Saccharomyces cerevisiae S288C: one gene and its partners. Changing the gene in region 3 together with the main gene of any one other region gives a genetic interaction. Each region holds a gene or a part of one and is shown on either strand. Other genes may lie near its edges. The genes, in order: TWF1, SCW10, PFY1 and BER1.

What was found.
Region 1: mutations in PFY1 (region 3) and TWF1 impair growth when combined (synthetic growth defect), as found in Saccharomyces cerevisiae (2 studies listed by BioGRID, with this or other methods).
Region 2: mutations in PFY1 (region 3) and SCW10 together harm fitness more than expected from each alone (negative genetic interaction), as found in Saccharomyces cerevisiae (2 studies listed by BioGRID).
Region 4: mutations in PFY1 (region 3) and BER1 impair growth when combined (synthetic growth defect), as found in Saccharomyces cerevisiae (2 studies listed by BioGRID, with this or other methods).

Annotation. Positions count from the first base shown.
Region 1 is NC_001139.9:640,261-643,521, reverse strand, and holds TWF1 (twinfilin TWF1), read right to left. Parts: upstream 1,513-3,261; coding exon 514-1,512; downstream 1-513. Other genes in the region: SLX9 (Slx9p), read left to right, coding at 1-374; YGR079W (uncharacterized protein), read right to left, coding at 1,690-2,802; tubulin-binding prefolding complex subunit PAC10, read left to right, coding at 3,151-3,261. UniProt on the Saccharomyces cerevisiae protein: Actin-binding protein involved in motile and morphological processes. Inhibits actin polymerization, likely by sequestering G-actin.
Region 2 is NC_001145.3:878,563-881,776, forward strand, and holds SCW10 (putative family 17 glucosidase), read right to left. Parts: upstream 1,671-3,214; coding exon 501-1,670; downstream 1-500. Other genes in the region: ubiquitin-specific protease UBP15, read left to right, coding at 1-117; FKS3 (putative 1,3-beta-D-glucan synthase), read left to right, coding at 2,597-3,214. UniProt on the Saccharomyces cerevisiae protein: Glucanases possibly play a role in cell expansion during growth, in cell-cell fusion during mating, and in spore release during sporulation.
Region 3 is NC_001147.6:551,798-554,645, forward strand, and holds PFY1 (profilin), read right to left. Parts: upstream 1,091-2,848; coding exon 1,078-1,090; intron 869-1,077; coding exon 501-868; downstream 1-500. Other genes in the region: glycerol 2-dehydrogenase (NADP(+)) GCY1, read left to right, coding at 1-255; Paf1-complex subunit LEO1, read right to left, coding at 1,379-2,773. UniProt on the Saccharomyces cerevisiae protein: Binds to actin and affects the structure of the cytoskeleton. At high concentrations, profilin prevents the polymerization of actin, whereas it enhances it at low concentrations. By binding to PIP2, it inhibits the formation of IP3 and DG.
Region 4 is NC_001144.5:946,809-949,698, reverse strand, and holds BER1 (Ber1p), read right to left. Parts: upstream 1,332-2,890; coding exon 507-1,331; downstream 1-506. Other genes in the region: high-affinity Cu transporter CTR3, read right to left, coding at 1,721-2,446.

The DNA of each region.
Region 1 (3,261 bases), on a different chromosome or scaffold from region 3:
CTTCCATTAGACGTAGGAAAAGAAAGCTAAGAGAAGAACTAAAACCAAGAATGCAAGATCTGCTCACTTCTTTGGAGCAAGAAAAGGATTTACGGGGCATTATTGAAAATAGTAGCAAAGACATGAATAACGATGATGACATCGACATGGATTCTAAAATAAGGTTTGTGGACACAAAGGAAATGAACTTGAAAAAGATAGAACCTGGTTCTGTTAGGATAAAAAAGAATCAGCCAAATATCAGGAACCAAAAGGGTGCAAAGGCATTGGCTGCTAACGAAACTGCAAGATTCAATCAGGTCCTAACCAATCAAGATTTCCAAAAAAATCCATTTGGCGCCTTAAGAGAGGTTATCAAGCTGCAAAAACAATGAACATTAAATAGCATAGCATAACAATTTTTGCCAGTGTAATATATATTCCAGCAAACCTAGAAAAACATTCAGTTTCATATTTAGAAGAATAAAAACGTATGTATTGTTGGTCACACATATATAGATGCCATTTCTATCTCTATGTTCTTCTTTTCCTCAATGGGCCCTTTGGTTTGTTGAATTTCAAATTGCTTTTGTTTGGGAGATCTGGATTGGATCCATGATCGAGGCTATCTTCTTTATTTGTTGCCATAAGTAAGGACTTGTCTAGTTCCACAAAATCGCCAATTTCTACCACTTTACTAAATGCGATTTTTTGATCATTTTTCAAGTAGTTGATAAATCCATTCTTGTTAGAAGCATATATCATTCTATCTTTGACTTTGCTGCCAGAGGGACAAGAGTAGATAAAGAAACTTGAATCACCCTGCCTGAAAATCGTGTAACTTGGCCCGGGCAAGTCAATGTACAGTTCATCTACGGAGGGACATGTATCAGATTGCACGATCTGGATGGTTTCGTTCGAGGGATCGATTTGAAATATGATTAAATTTTTACCCTCGCTATCCAGTATTTCATTGATAGGTTTCTCAGAATTGACCCTGAAAGTTAACGATAAAGGCGAAGCACTGTCCTGAGAAACCAACTTGACGGATGTGTTTTTCCTTAAAAGTGCCTGTTGCTTATTGATTTCGATTTGCATTTCTTCATCATGTGTCAAGGGCTTATTCTGGCCAGCAGGACGGGCACTATCAAAATTTTTCAAATCCACCAAGTCCTGTGCATCTGTGATCAATGGCTGTTCGGTGGATAAAGAGTTTGAACCTACCTGTCTTGCCAGAGTGTTCTTCGTCGAGGCATAAAGCATTCTTGATCTTACCGGAGAACCATCGGGGATGAATGACACAAAGAAGTACTTATCAAGCCCTTCCGGCTTATAGAAGATGTACAACGGTTCTCTTTCTTGTGATGCCAACTGTACCAGCTCCTCGAAGCTACGTGCGACTTGCGTTTGATGTACCGAGGTAGAATCAGGGGAAATTTTGGCTATAATGATGACGATGCCATCTGCTGAAAGATTTTCATTCAGAGAATGCAGCAAGGCTTGTTCTGCGACTATACCGGATTGAGTAGACATGTGATGTGTTGAGATACAGAGTTCCTTCTTATTCAATTGCCTATCAAATTAGCCAACTTGTCCAAATAGTAAAAGATATAGATCTTATAATGACATATTTTTCAAATCCTACAAAAACAAGTTACCCTAACACTGTATAAAAAGAATCTATTTATTGTACTGTTAATAGTACTGTTATTACAACATGAATTCACCGATACCAAAACCAGCTGATAACGTCTGGCAAACACCACTCTTTCTTCTTATGGCCCTCTTCAACAGCTTATCTCTTTTAGACAAGGGTTTCCACTTTTTAGAAATTGCAGAGGATGAGCGCAGGGAATTCTTCAAAAACTTCCTTTTTTTCAAGGTGAACTTGCCCTCATTGTCTCTGTAGCACAATAACTTGATATTGTAGTCCAAATTATCAAGAAGGGAGGAAGATGGTGATGAAGATGGGGAGGGTTCCATGGCTTCAGCACTGTTGATATCATCTTTGATGAAGTCCTCTATTCCCAATGTGTCGTTCGAACTCGTGGTGGCGTCGCCTGGATGCAGAGCCACGAGGGAGCATTTTCTTTGTCTTGTCTCCTGCAGGCAAATGGCCTCTTCTGCAGTGCCATTTACTTCCTTCCAGAAGTCCGTATTATTTGCGTCACTCTTGCTATTGTCGCCGAAAAAGAATGATTGCTGTATCTGTGGTAGAAAGATACTGCTCTCGCTGCTATCGTGGAAATTATTCTTGTTGTGATTTTCCTCCATGGGTAGTTCATTGTCCGCACTGTAACTAAATGTGCTGTTGGTGAAGGAAGGCTGGTGGCATGGGGAGAAGAGAGGATCAGGCTCAGAACTATAGCCGAGCGTACTTTCGAGGTCGTCATCATCGTCATCATCGTGTAAATCTCCGTTTTGGGTGCCATCGTCCTCGGTGGCGTTCTCAGATAGTGAACCGGCAGTATCTATCGAACGAGCAGTGGTGATGATGATTGGGGTGGCCTCGACTGCACTGGCTGTGGTGTTTTTACCATCTGCTGTCCCGCGAGTGTCCGCTTTCTTTGTGTGCGATCTGGACAAGGGAGTAATATCCTCCTTGGTGATGACCTTATTCGGTACCTGAAATGCCTTGCTGCTTTTATTCATTGCTACGTAAACTATGCTATATGATACAAGTGAACGCTCGTCGAGGGAATAACTGCTGCGTGTGCGTGAACGAGTAAATGAATGAATGAATGAGTTAACACATGAAAACGAAGATAATCGCAAAACGACAATGAACAAATAAACACATCCCTCATTTGCGGCACTGCTCATCTCATCTCATCCTTTATATTAGGAGGCAACGAGCTTTCTCGCTCACCAAAAAGAAACGTGCGAAAAAAACCGAAAAATAAAAAAAAAAAAAAAAAAAAAAAAGAAACGCGCTGCAGGAACGTGACTTCCAAAAAAGGAAGGTGCCGTTCCAATATGGAAACCGCAGGCACTCATGATTGTGCAGGACGGGTAACACATGATTTGTTTCGTTTCTTCGATCATTTTGCAGAACTGGTCAGAAAAGAAAGTGAAAAAATCTAGTTTAACACTATTGTAGAGGCTATAAATTGTAGACAACATTTACTGCAGAAAACTGTACGCACATATATAACAGATACTACGGTTATTATGGACACACTGTTCAACTCCACGGAAAAGAATGCCAGAGGCATACCGCAGGCTCCATTCATCGAAAATGTCAACGAAATAATTAAGGACCCAAGCGACTTCGAATTGTGC
Region 2 (3,214 bases), on a different chromosome or scaffold from region 3:
TTGGACAAAGTTATATTGTATGACATTATGTCCAACTTAGATTATATCTACATGGATCATCCGGATAGATTGAGATCGCATTCTTCCTATGATAGACCAATGATCATTAAAAACTGATACGTCTTACGACTATGTTTAGCTTTGATGTTTTCTCCATTTTTTTTATGTTTTTTTATGATAATCTCTCAGCCGCCATCACTTCCACACAGGCAATGCTCTACAGTTTTATTTTGCTTTTAGGTAATGCCGCATATATATATATATATAAGTTAGAACACAAACTATAGAGCAGCGAGGACCCGTAGCTAAAAGGAAGACAAATTGAAAAATCTTTCACAAATGAGTATAGAATATATACTTTACACAAAACACATAAGTAAACAATAACGTGATAAGAATAGGAGAGCAAATATGGGAAAGGGCTTATTTCCCCCATATTTGGCTGCTTTTTAAGAAAAAGGGAAAAAGAATGATCATAAAGTAAATGAAGTTTCAGTGGTTTAATCACTTGATAGAATACCCCAGTATTTTTCAACACCGTATTGCCCATCATCTTTCCATAGATCATTGAAGGCGGTAAATAAGTAAGCTGAAGAGCCGCAGGAGCTTTTGATAGAAGAAATGGCGGCTTCTTGGTTTGCTTTAGATGGGACAGCTTCGCCGTAAGTATCACCCTTAGATGGCCAACCAGTTTCGGTAATAACGACGTCCTTTTTCCCACCACAAGCAGTGTAAACCCTTTCGATTTGTTCTAGTACCCATGGTCCTGCATCTTGGGCCGCAGTATTTTCATCGAAGTATGCATGGGCGTTGACAGCCATATAGTCAGAATAATTACACAGGTCAGGGTTATTTATAACAGCAATGAAGGTATCAACGGAAACGACTGAGCCTGTATAACCAGCAGAGGTTAAAGCTGACTTGGCCGTGGAAACGTATTCACCGACTTGCGTCGTAGTGGCAGAACCGCCATTGACCAGTTCGTTACCGACAGAAACAGTGGTAATATCATCCCAGGAGCCATAAGACTCAACTGCAGATTTAATAGTATCAACGGCGTCTTGAATTTTGTCAACGTAATATATGCCTAAGAATAATTTCTGGCTTGAAGTTTTAGCTTGCAAGACATTCTCAACCTGACTACAGTCAACGCCATATAATCTGATGTTGTCAAAACCAGTCAACTGTTCTAAATCTGAGGCGACTTGAGCAGTAGATTTACAGGACCCATCATCATTGTAAGGACTGTAAGTAATACCCTTAGCACCGGAGGCTGAGATACTAGATGAAGCGGAGGATGAAGCTGAAGATGAAGTTGAGGATGAGGATGAGGGTGAGGATGAAGTCGAAGAACCAACCGTAGATGCTGCCTCGGAAGATTGAAGAGTGCTGGTTTGTTGTTGAGAAGTGACGACATTAGCGGAAGTTGTTGGTTCTAAAGTGGATGTAGTTGCTTGAGAAGCAACTGCAGTACTGCTGGTAGTAGCTACAACAGCATTCTCGTTCACTGGAACAATAGTTTCGCCGCTGTTACCGGAAACGACAACAGTAACCTGCGCATGGACTGTGGCAGTAACAACGTCACGCTTTTCATGTTTATGGCGAACAGCAGGAGCTCCTAGAGCTCCGGTTAATAATGCAGATACAGTTAGGAAATTTGAAAAACGCATAATGGAATGAAGACTTTTTTTGCGTTAATACTATCTTTTGACAATTTGAAAAAAAGAACAGTAATAGTAAAGGAGAGACGTGACAGTTGGATGTTCAGCTCAATATTGCAAAAGTATAGTATTTAACTCTTTTATTTGGGCCTATATAATAGATGAATTTAAAATGGGAAAAATATGATGCACGCTTCAAAGATACACTGTAAGACAAACTTCACGCAGACATCTTTCCCTCCATTATAAATACTACAGTTTTGAAACAAACGTGGAAAAGAAGGCTTATGGATACGGCTCTCGATGGAGAAGTTACTGTACACATGAAAACACGAATAACTTTCAAACGCGTGCGACGTTTGTTACCATATTCAAACGTTTCAACGCGAATTTTTTGTCCGCTGTTTCGCGCAATTAAAAGTCTTGGCATTTTTCTCTTCAGGTTTTACTTCGTCCGAAATCTTCGAGGACTTTTCCGAAAAAGGTAAATTACTGCAAACGGTCTTTCGCGAAATCTAGACCGAAGATCTCTGGGGATATGTAAGGAACAAATATTTTTGTCATTGAGGGCTTAGATAAAAAGAAAATCTAGATGTCTTGCCTGAGAAAAAGAAAGAGGGAGGCATTCTTTCTTAATTATTACCGTGCCTGGTATCAGCATAAGTGAAGGCCGAGACAGCTTTCGTATATGGCTGTTGCACGTCTCTGAACTAATCATTCTCGCCCATCAAGATCGGACCATCTTGCCTAGTGCGGCAATGATGGTTAAATTATGCGGGTAAGAGTTTTACATGGTCAGCGGCTATTTGGCGAGAACCTTCAAAAGTAATTATGCCTTCTAGGATTTGCCACTATACAACTTAATCATTAAGGGCTGTGGAACTGCATATTGGGAAAAGAAAAACATACTGAGAAGGAAAGTTAAGGAGTTGAATATGGATTTTATGAGTCCCAAGTTTTCGCTAACTGACGTTGAGTATCCTGCTTGGTGCCAAGACGATGAAGTCCCAATAACAATGCAGGAAATTAGAGAAATTTTTGTGGAGCTCATGGATAAGTTTGGCTTCCAGAAATCTTCTATGGAAAATATGTATCAACATTTAATGGGACAGCTGGACTCCAGGGCAAGTCGTACAGGTGCTCAAAATGCTTTAGTATCGCTACATGTTTCATATATTGGAGGCGAACACGCAAATTATAGAAAATGGTATTTTGCCGCTCAGCTCGATTTAGATGAAGAGATCGGGTTTCAAAACATGCGACTACATGGAAAGGCACGCCAAAGAAACGTAAAAATGGCGAAGAAAAGAGGCGTATCGATAAAGGAACAAATTAAGCAATGGAATGAGAAGGAGCAAGAGTTCATCAATAACCATCCAAAGATCACACTGACTCAAGAACAATTGGAAGATCAGACAAACTTGAAAAGTGCAGACTACAAATGGAAATTGAAAATGAAAAAATTGACGCCCGAAAATATGATAAGACAGCTGGCCCTTTATTTGCTTTGCTGGGGTGAAGCCAATCAAGTCAGATTCGCCCCAGAATGCCTT
Region 3 (2,848 bases):
CTATTGAAGGAACCGGTTATCCTTGAAATTGCGAAGAAAAATAACGTTCAACCCGGACACGTTGTTATTAGCTGGCACGTCCAAAGAGGTTATGTTGTCTTGCCAAAATCTGTGAATCCCGATCGAATCAAAACGAACAGGAAAATATTTACTTTGTCTACTGAGGACTTTGAAGCTATCAATAACATATCGAAGGAAAAGGGCGAAAAAAGGGTTGTACATCCAAATTGGTCTCCTTTCGAAGTATTCAAGTAATTGTTTTTGCGTGTTTCTCGTATGATTGTAATATGTAGATAAATTAAACATAAGTATATCAAATGTCGATATTCTTAAGACTGTTTCGTAAATATGTTAAATACCGGATGTGACTACATATAAAAAGTGCGCCTTTTACAGTGATAATTAGCGTCAATCAATAAAATATTTGTAAAATAGGAAGCGAAATCCCGCAGATGCCAGAATAGGTGGTGTATAAGGCAAGAAAACTTTACCTGCATAAATTAGTATTGAACACCAATCAAGTAGTCAGCCAATTGCTCGACAATCTTGGTGGCCTCACCGGCTTGTACGGTTGGTGGATAATGAGCAATAATAACGGTTTGCTTAGTTCTTACACAAACAACACCCTCAGCATCATGTCTACCGTAGATACTTCTATCGTCAGCTCTCAACAACATGAACTTTTGGCCTTGAATATGCAAACCATTGCTTTGCAAACCAGCTGGATTGTCGAAGCCTTGAACAATTTCACCAATTTCGTTTGGTTGCAAAGATAGGCCACCAGAAGTAGCCCAAACAGCGTCACCTGCTCTCGAGTAGATGACAGCTTTGTCGACTTTACCGGTTCCTATTAAGTTATCAGTGTATGCTGTTTAAAAGTAGGAGAAAAAAACGGAAAGAAATTCATGTTTGAAATTTCATATGTTTTTTGATATTCCAGTTAGTAATTTACTCTGAGTGGTTAATCTTCGAAATTACGCGCATCAACAAAAATCGGGCATTGCCAAACATTGTCACACAAGCTAACCTCCGACTCATTTCTTTCTTAATCAATTGATAATTGTCTCGTTCACATACCTTGCCAAGACATAATTTGCGATCGTAGTTGGGTTTATGTTGTGTATGTAATTTATCTTTTCTCAAGGATCACACAGTTGTTTTAAGAAGGGAATGAGAAAGGGTCAACTGAGCTTTAAAAAGAAAAAAAATATTAATGCGGGTAATGAGTTTCGTACAAAGACATTTCATGGCGTGTTCTCGCCAAAAATCATGGTAAAACCTCCCACACAGTAACCTCATACTAAATACTACAACATGTCATCACTCCATTTCTTTGCGATTGTACATACTAATATATATAAACAAAGTAACGTCTCCTCTAATCCTCGTCTTCGTCGTCCTCGATGACCGCAACCCTTCTTCTTTTTGTCTCGCTCCTATCTTTTTCTTCTTCTTCCTCTTCTCTGTACATTGCTGCTCCTTCTCTTTTTAAATTTCTTAGACGAGAGGCGTTCTCTTCATCCGCGTCCTCTTCTTCTTCTTCTTCCTCATTATCATCCTCTTCGTCGTCAAACGCAGCCTCCTCTTCCTCATCGTCGTCGACTAAAAAGTCATCTTCTTCATATTCATTTCTTCTCGAGGCTCCATAGGTAGTGGGTGAATTTTGCTTTCTAAATCCCGTCTCAAAAGCGGCATCTGGGGATTCTTGTTTCTCCTTTTCTTTGAGCTGTCTTCTCCTTCTGTCTCTTAAAATCTGGCTTTGCTTTCTCTCTAACTCCTTCTTTTCCACTTCAGGATCCATACTTACAATGTATGTTCCAGGACCCTTGCTTTGTCTTTGGTTCCTTCTTATAACAGCTTTACTTAGTTTTTGATGTATTTTTGAATTCGTCGAAGTTGGAATAAACATCAACGTCTTTTTTATTTCACCCCCTTCGTAACACTGGATCAACTCTTGTTGGTCATGCGATACTGTCAAAAAAGTGTTGCTCGTATCGTTGACCAATATATCTGTACACTCTTCACCAACTTTTAGCGAATATGTACCGTCTGACCACTGCACTATTTGTGTATTTGATTCTTTAAAGACATGTTGGTCTTTGTCACGAGAGTATCTCCATCTAACAGTGTTTTCATCAATCAGGCGGTCGTCCAGTTGATCCTCCCTAGAAGCTGAATTGCTTGCCCTTTCGTTTACTTTGGCCTCAAAACTTGGAGGGTCGAAAGGAATTGGATCGATAGTTAAAAAGTTGGGAATTCTAGCATAGAAAATTTCGTTGTGAGACGCCGTTTCATTCACATTAGCTTTACTTGGAATAATATGTCTGACAAGCTCTACATTTTCCTCTTTAAAAGTGTGAGTAGTCTCATCTTGATCAGAAAAGTTATTAGCATCCTCACCATAAAATTTTCGGGTGTACATGGCTTGCTCCTCTGCTTCATCATCATCTAACCCGAGACTTTCTCTATGACGACTTCTATGGTTGATATTCTCTCCCTCGTCGTCTTCATCACTATCACTATCACTTTTTTCAGTCTCCGATTTTTTAACATCATCATCATCATCGTCATCATTGTCATCTCCAAATAAATCATCTAGTTCTGCGTCTTCTTCTTGTTCCTCTTCTTTAGTATCATCATTTCCATTGACTTCCTTGACATTATCATCTTGAGAGCGGCTTGTTTCCTCATTGCTTGTACTATTGGTGGTAACGCCGACGTTATTGCTGATTTGCTCCTTCTGTGGTTGATCCTGTGGGCTTTCAGATGACATCTTAATTATAGTCCAGTATATCTAATTGGATTACTTTGATTGGACGCACCTAGTTTACGCAACCTATCTACTTAA
Region 4 (2,890 bases), on a different chromosome or scaffold from region 3:
ATTTATCAATTCGCCCGCGAAGTTAAAAAAAACCGATCTTCGCAGGCACTCGTTAGAACTTAGAAACAGTTCCTCTTAGGGCAAGCGCCCTTGTCGTATTTAGCCTTCTTTAAGTTGAGCTGTAACGTTGTTCGAGTCCGAGAAGTATCCTTGACAGGGACGATAACCATCAGCAGGAAAAACGGTATTTTCATTTATATCCTTTCCTCGAGGAGGGCTTGAATTATGCAATCTCTAAATACTATTCAATTCAGAGAGTAGATTTTTGTGGGCAAAGTAGACGTCGCTCTCTTTCAGTATACGTTCTTGAGCTTTCCATTTCAATGAACCGGCAACTAAGTTGGTATCCTTTCATGATCCTGTCGAGTACATTTATAACAATCATGTTGATTGTTCCAGTATCATAGATAAAGCGGTCTCGTGTCGTTATTGATGGTAAAGCGTCAGGTTACGATGCCCTGAAAGGTTACAGTTTAGTTATAAAGTACTATGTAGTGAATGATATGTTAGTACTCTATAGCATGTAACGTCAAGTCAGAGAAGGAATTGATCCAGGGTTTTTCCTTCAAATACTTTCCTTCATCAAAATCGGTGAGTATTTGGCAGGACTTAAACTTCGGTGCTATTGAATCATAGTCTATATCAGATGGTGTGACCTTGAGTTTAGAGGAGTTGTTTCTGTTTTTTCTTTTTCTCTTTGGAATGAATGTTGCAAAACCATCTACATCATGTGCTTTTTTAACTTCTGGCGGAGCGTTAGTCTGCAAGTAATGAACTAGCTTGCTTAAATTAGGATAGTTTTCACAAAGTTTTGCTTTGGTGTATCTATCGGTGTGTGATATCATATTATTTGCCAGCCATAAGTGTGGTCGCTGTGACGATAGTATGTTCTCAGTTAAATCCAAAGGAGCATGGGGAAGGAAATATAATACCGATTCATAATCAATTGCATCGTTCTCTGAAAATTCTTCCTCTATCAGCCATTTGCTTCCTAAACTTTTCAAGTACTGTATCTCTTCTTTAGTAAATATTGGATCATACAGGGAAACAACGACATCCCTTTCATCCTCACTTTTTATATAATCAGTAATCTCTAGGAGAAGAGCGAATTGGTACGTCGCAGGAAAATCCTCCTTGAAATTTCCAATTGCAACACATCGTATTTTCTTAATGTTATTGAGGTGCGGTTGTAAATTTTCAAGTAAATCTGAGAGGAATGCTGATTTTTTCAGAACATCTCTATTTGTCTGAACAATTTCTTCAAACGCTTTAGCAGGCACTACCTTCTTGCCAGTTTTCTTAAACTTTGTCCCACTTGCTTTAAAATCCATACAGCAGAAGACCGGTCAAGGTCATTAACTTCGGTATCAGTTCAGGATCTTAGCAGTTTTCTAGAGTTCAAATAAGTTTTCACTTTTTTCATCGCTACACGTCGAGCAAGCATCATTCCTTACCCGACCCGCAGATAGTTTACTTCCCATAGAGCTTTTATTATAGTTTTACATCAACTAAGGATGTTCAAACCGTCTCGTTTCCCAAATATGCAGTCATGGAATATGAACACCTGGTGGTATTAGCTATTTATTTTTACACGAATAATTATTTGTTATTTAGCAGTCGTTACAAATAGTAACTTTTACCAGCTAATTATGAAAAAAATGAGGAAGGCGTCAATTTTTGAAACAAACCTCTCGGCTTTCCTCTATTCATTTTTGTCTTTCTACAAGCAGCATTTGCGATCATCACTCTCTTTATCATAACTCACTGTACCCTGGGCTGATCCATTAGCACCCAATGAGCCTAGAGGTTCATAGCAAAATATGAAACGACCAACGATAGCACCTATTAAACAACTAATAATGATATAGCCGTTATAGTACATGAACAGCAGCATGATGATATAAGATAACCCCCACTGTAATACGAAAATAGTAACTCTTATCATGTGATCCAAAAAAGTTGGGTACAAATCCACTGGCGTTATTAATGTACAGCATGATAGGACCTTCTTTAACAGGTCGTCTTCTGGCTCGTTCAATCTCCTTGGACCCCAAACGTAAAAACTATAAATGAAACTTTTTTGTAAGGAAATTAAAGTTGTTTTCCAGCTTGGTTCGTTGTAAAAGCCTTGTAGTTCTTCTATATCAGATTTAGCATCCTCTTCTCCACATTTGACAACGTACTCCTCTGGCGAGTAACTAGCTAAATGCTTTATTTTCTGTCTTTTTAATAGCTCTACGTCAAATTGCCTTGAAAAACGAGTAAGCCATTGAGCTACCACCACAAGCGCAAAACAGCCGATGCAAGAACCAGCAAATTTTCCTTTGGTGTCATTTCTCCAAGATCTGGCAATGAAGCAGGTGTCAATGGTATACCAATTCCATAACATCGATATTTTACAAGTCGCTTTTTTGGCAGCAGTGCTGCTACTGCCTCCCATATTCATCTTTGTATAGCCCTTAAATGTGTTTTCGTCTGTTGTTATCCCTCTTCTTCGATCAAAGTGTTAGGAAATGAAATAAGATAAATTACAAGTCTATCGGAGAAGTGAAGAGAATGTGGATTTTGATGTAATTGTTGGGATTCCATTTTTAATAAGGCAATAATATTAGGTATGTAGATATACTAGAAGTTCTCCTCGAGGATTTAGGAATCCATAAAAGGGAATCTGCAATTCTACACAATTCTATAAATATTATTATCATCATTTTATATGTTAATATTCATTGATCCTATTACATTATCAATCCTTGCGTTTCAGCTTCCACTAATTTAGATGACTATTTCTCATCATTTGCGTCATCTTCTAACACCGTATATGATAATATACTAGTAACGTAAATACTAGTTAGTAGATGATAGTTGATTTTTATTCCAACATACCACCCAT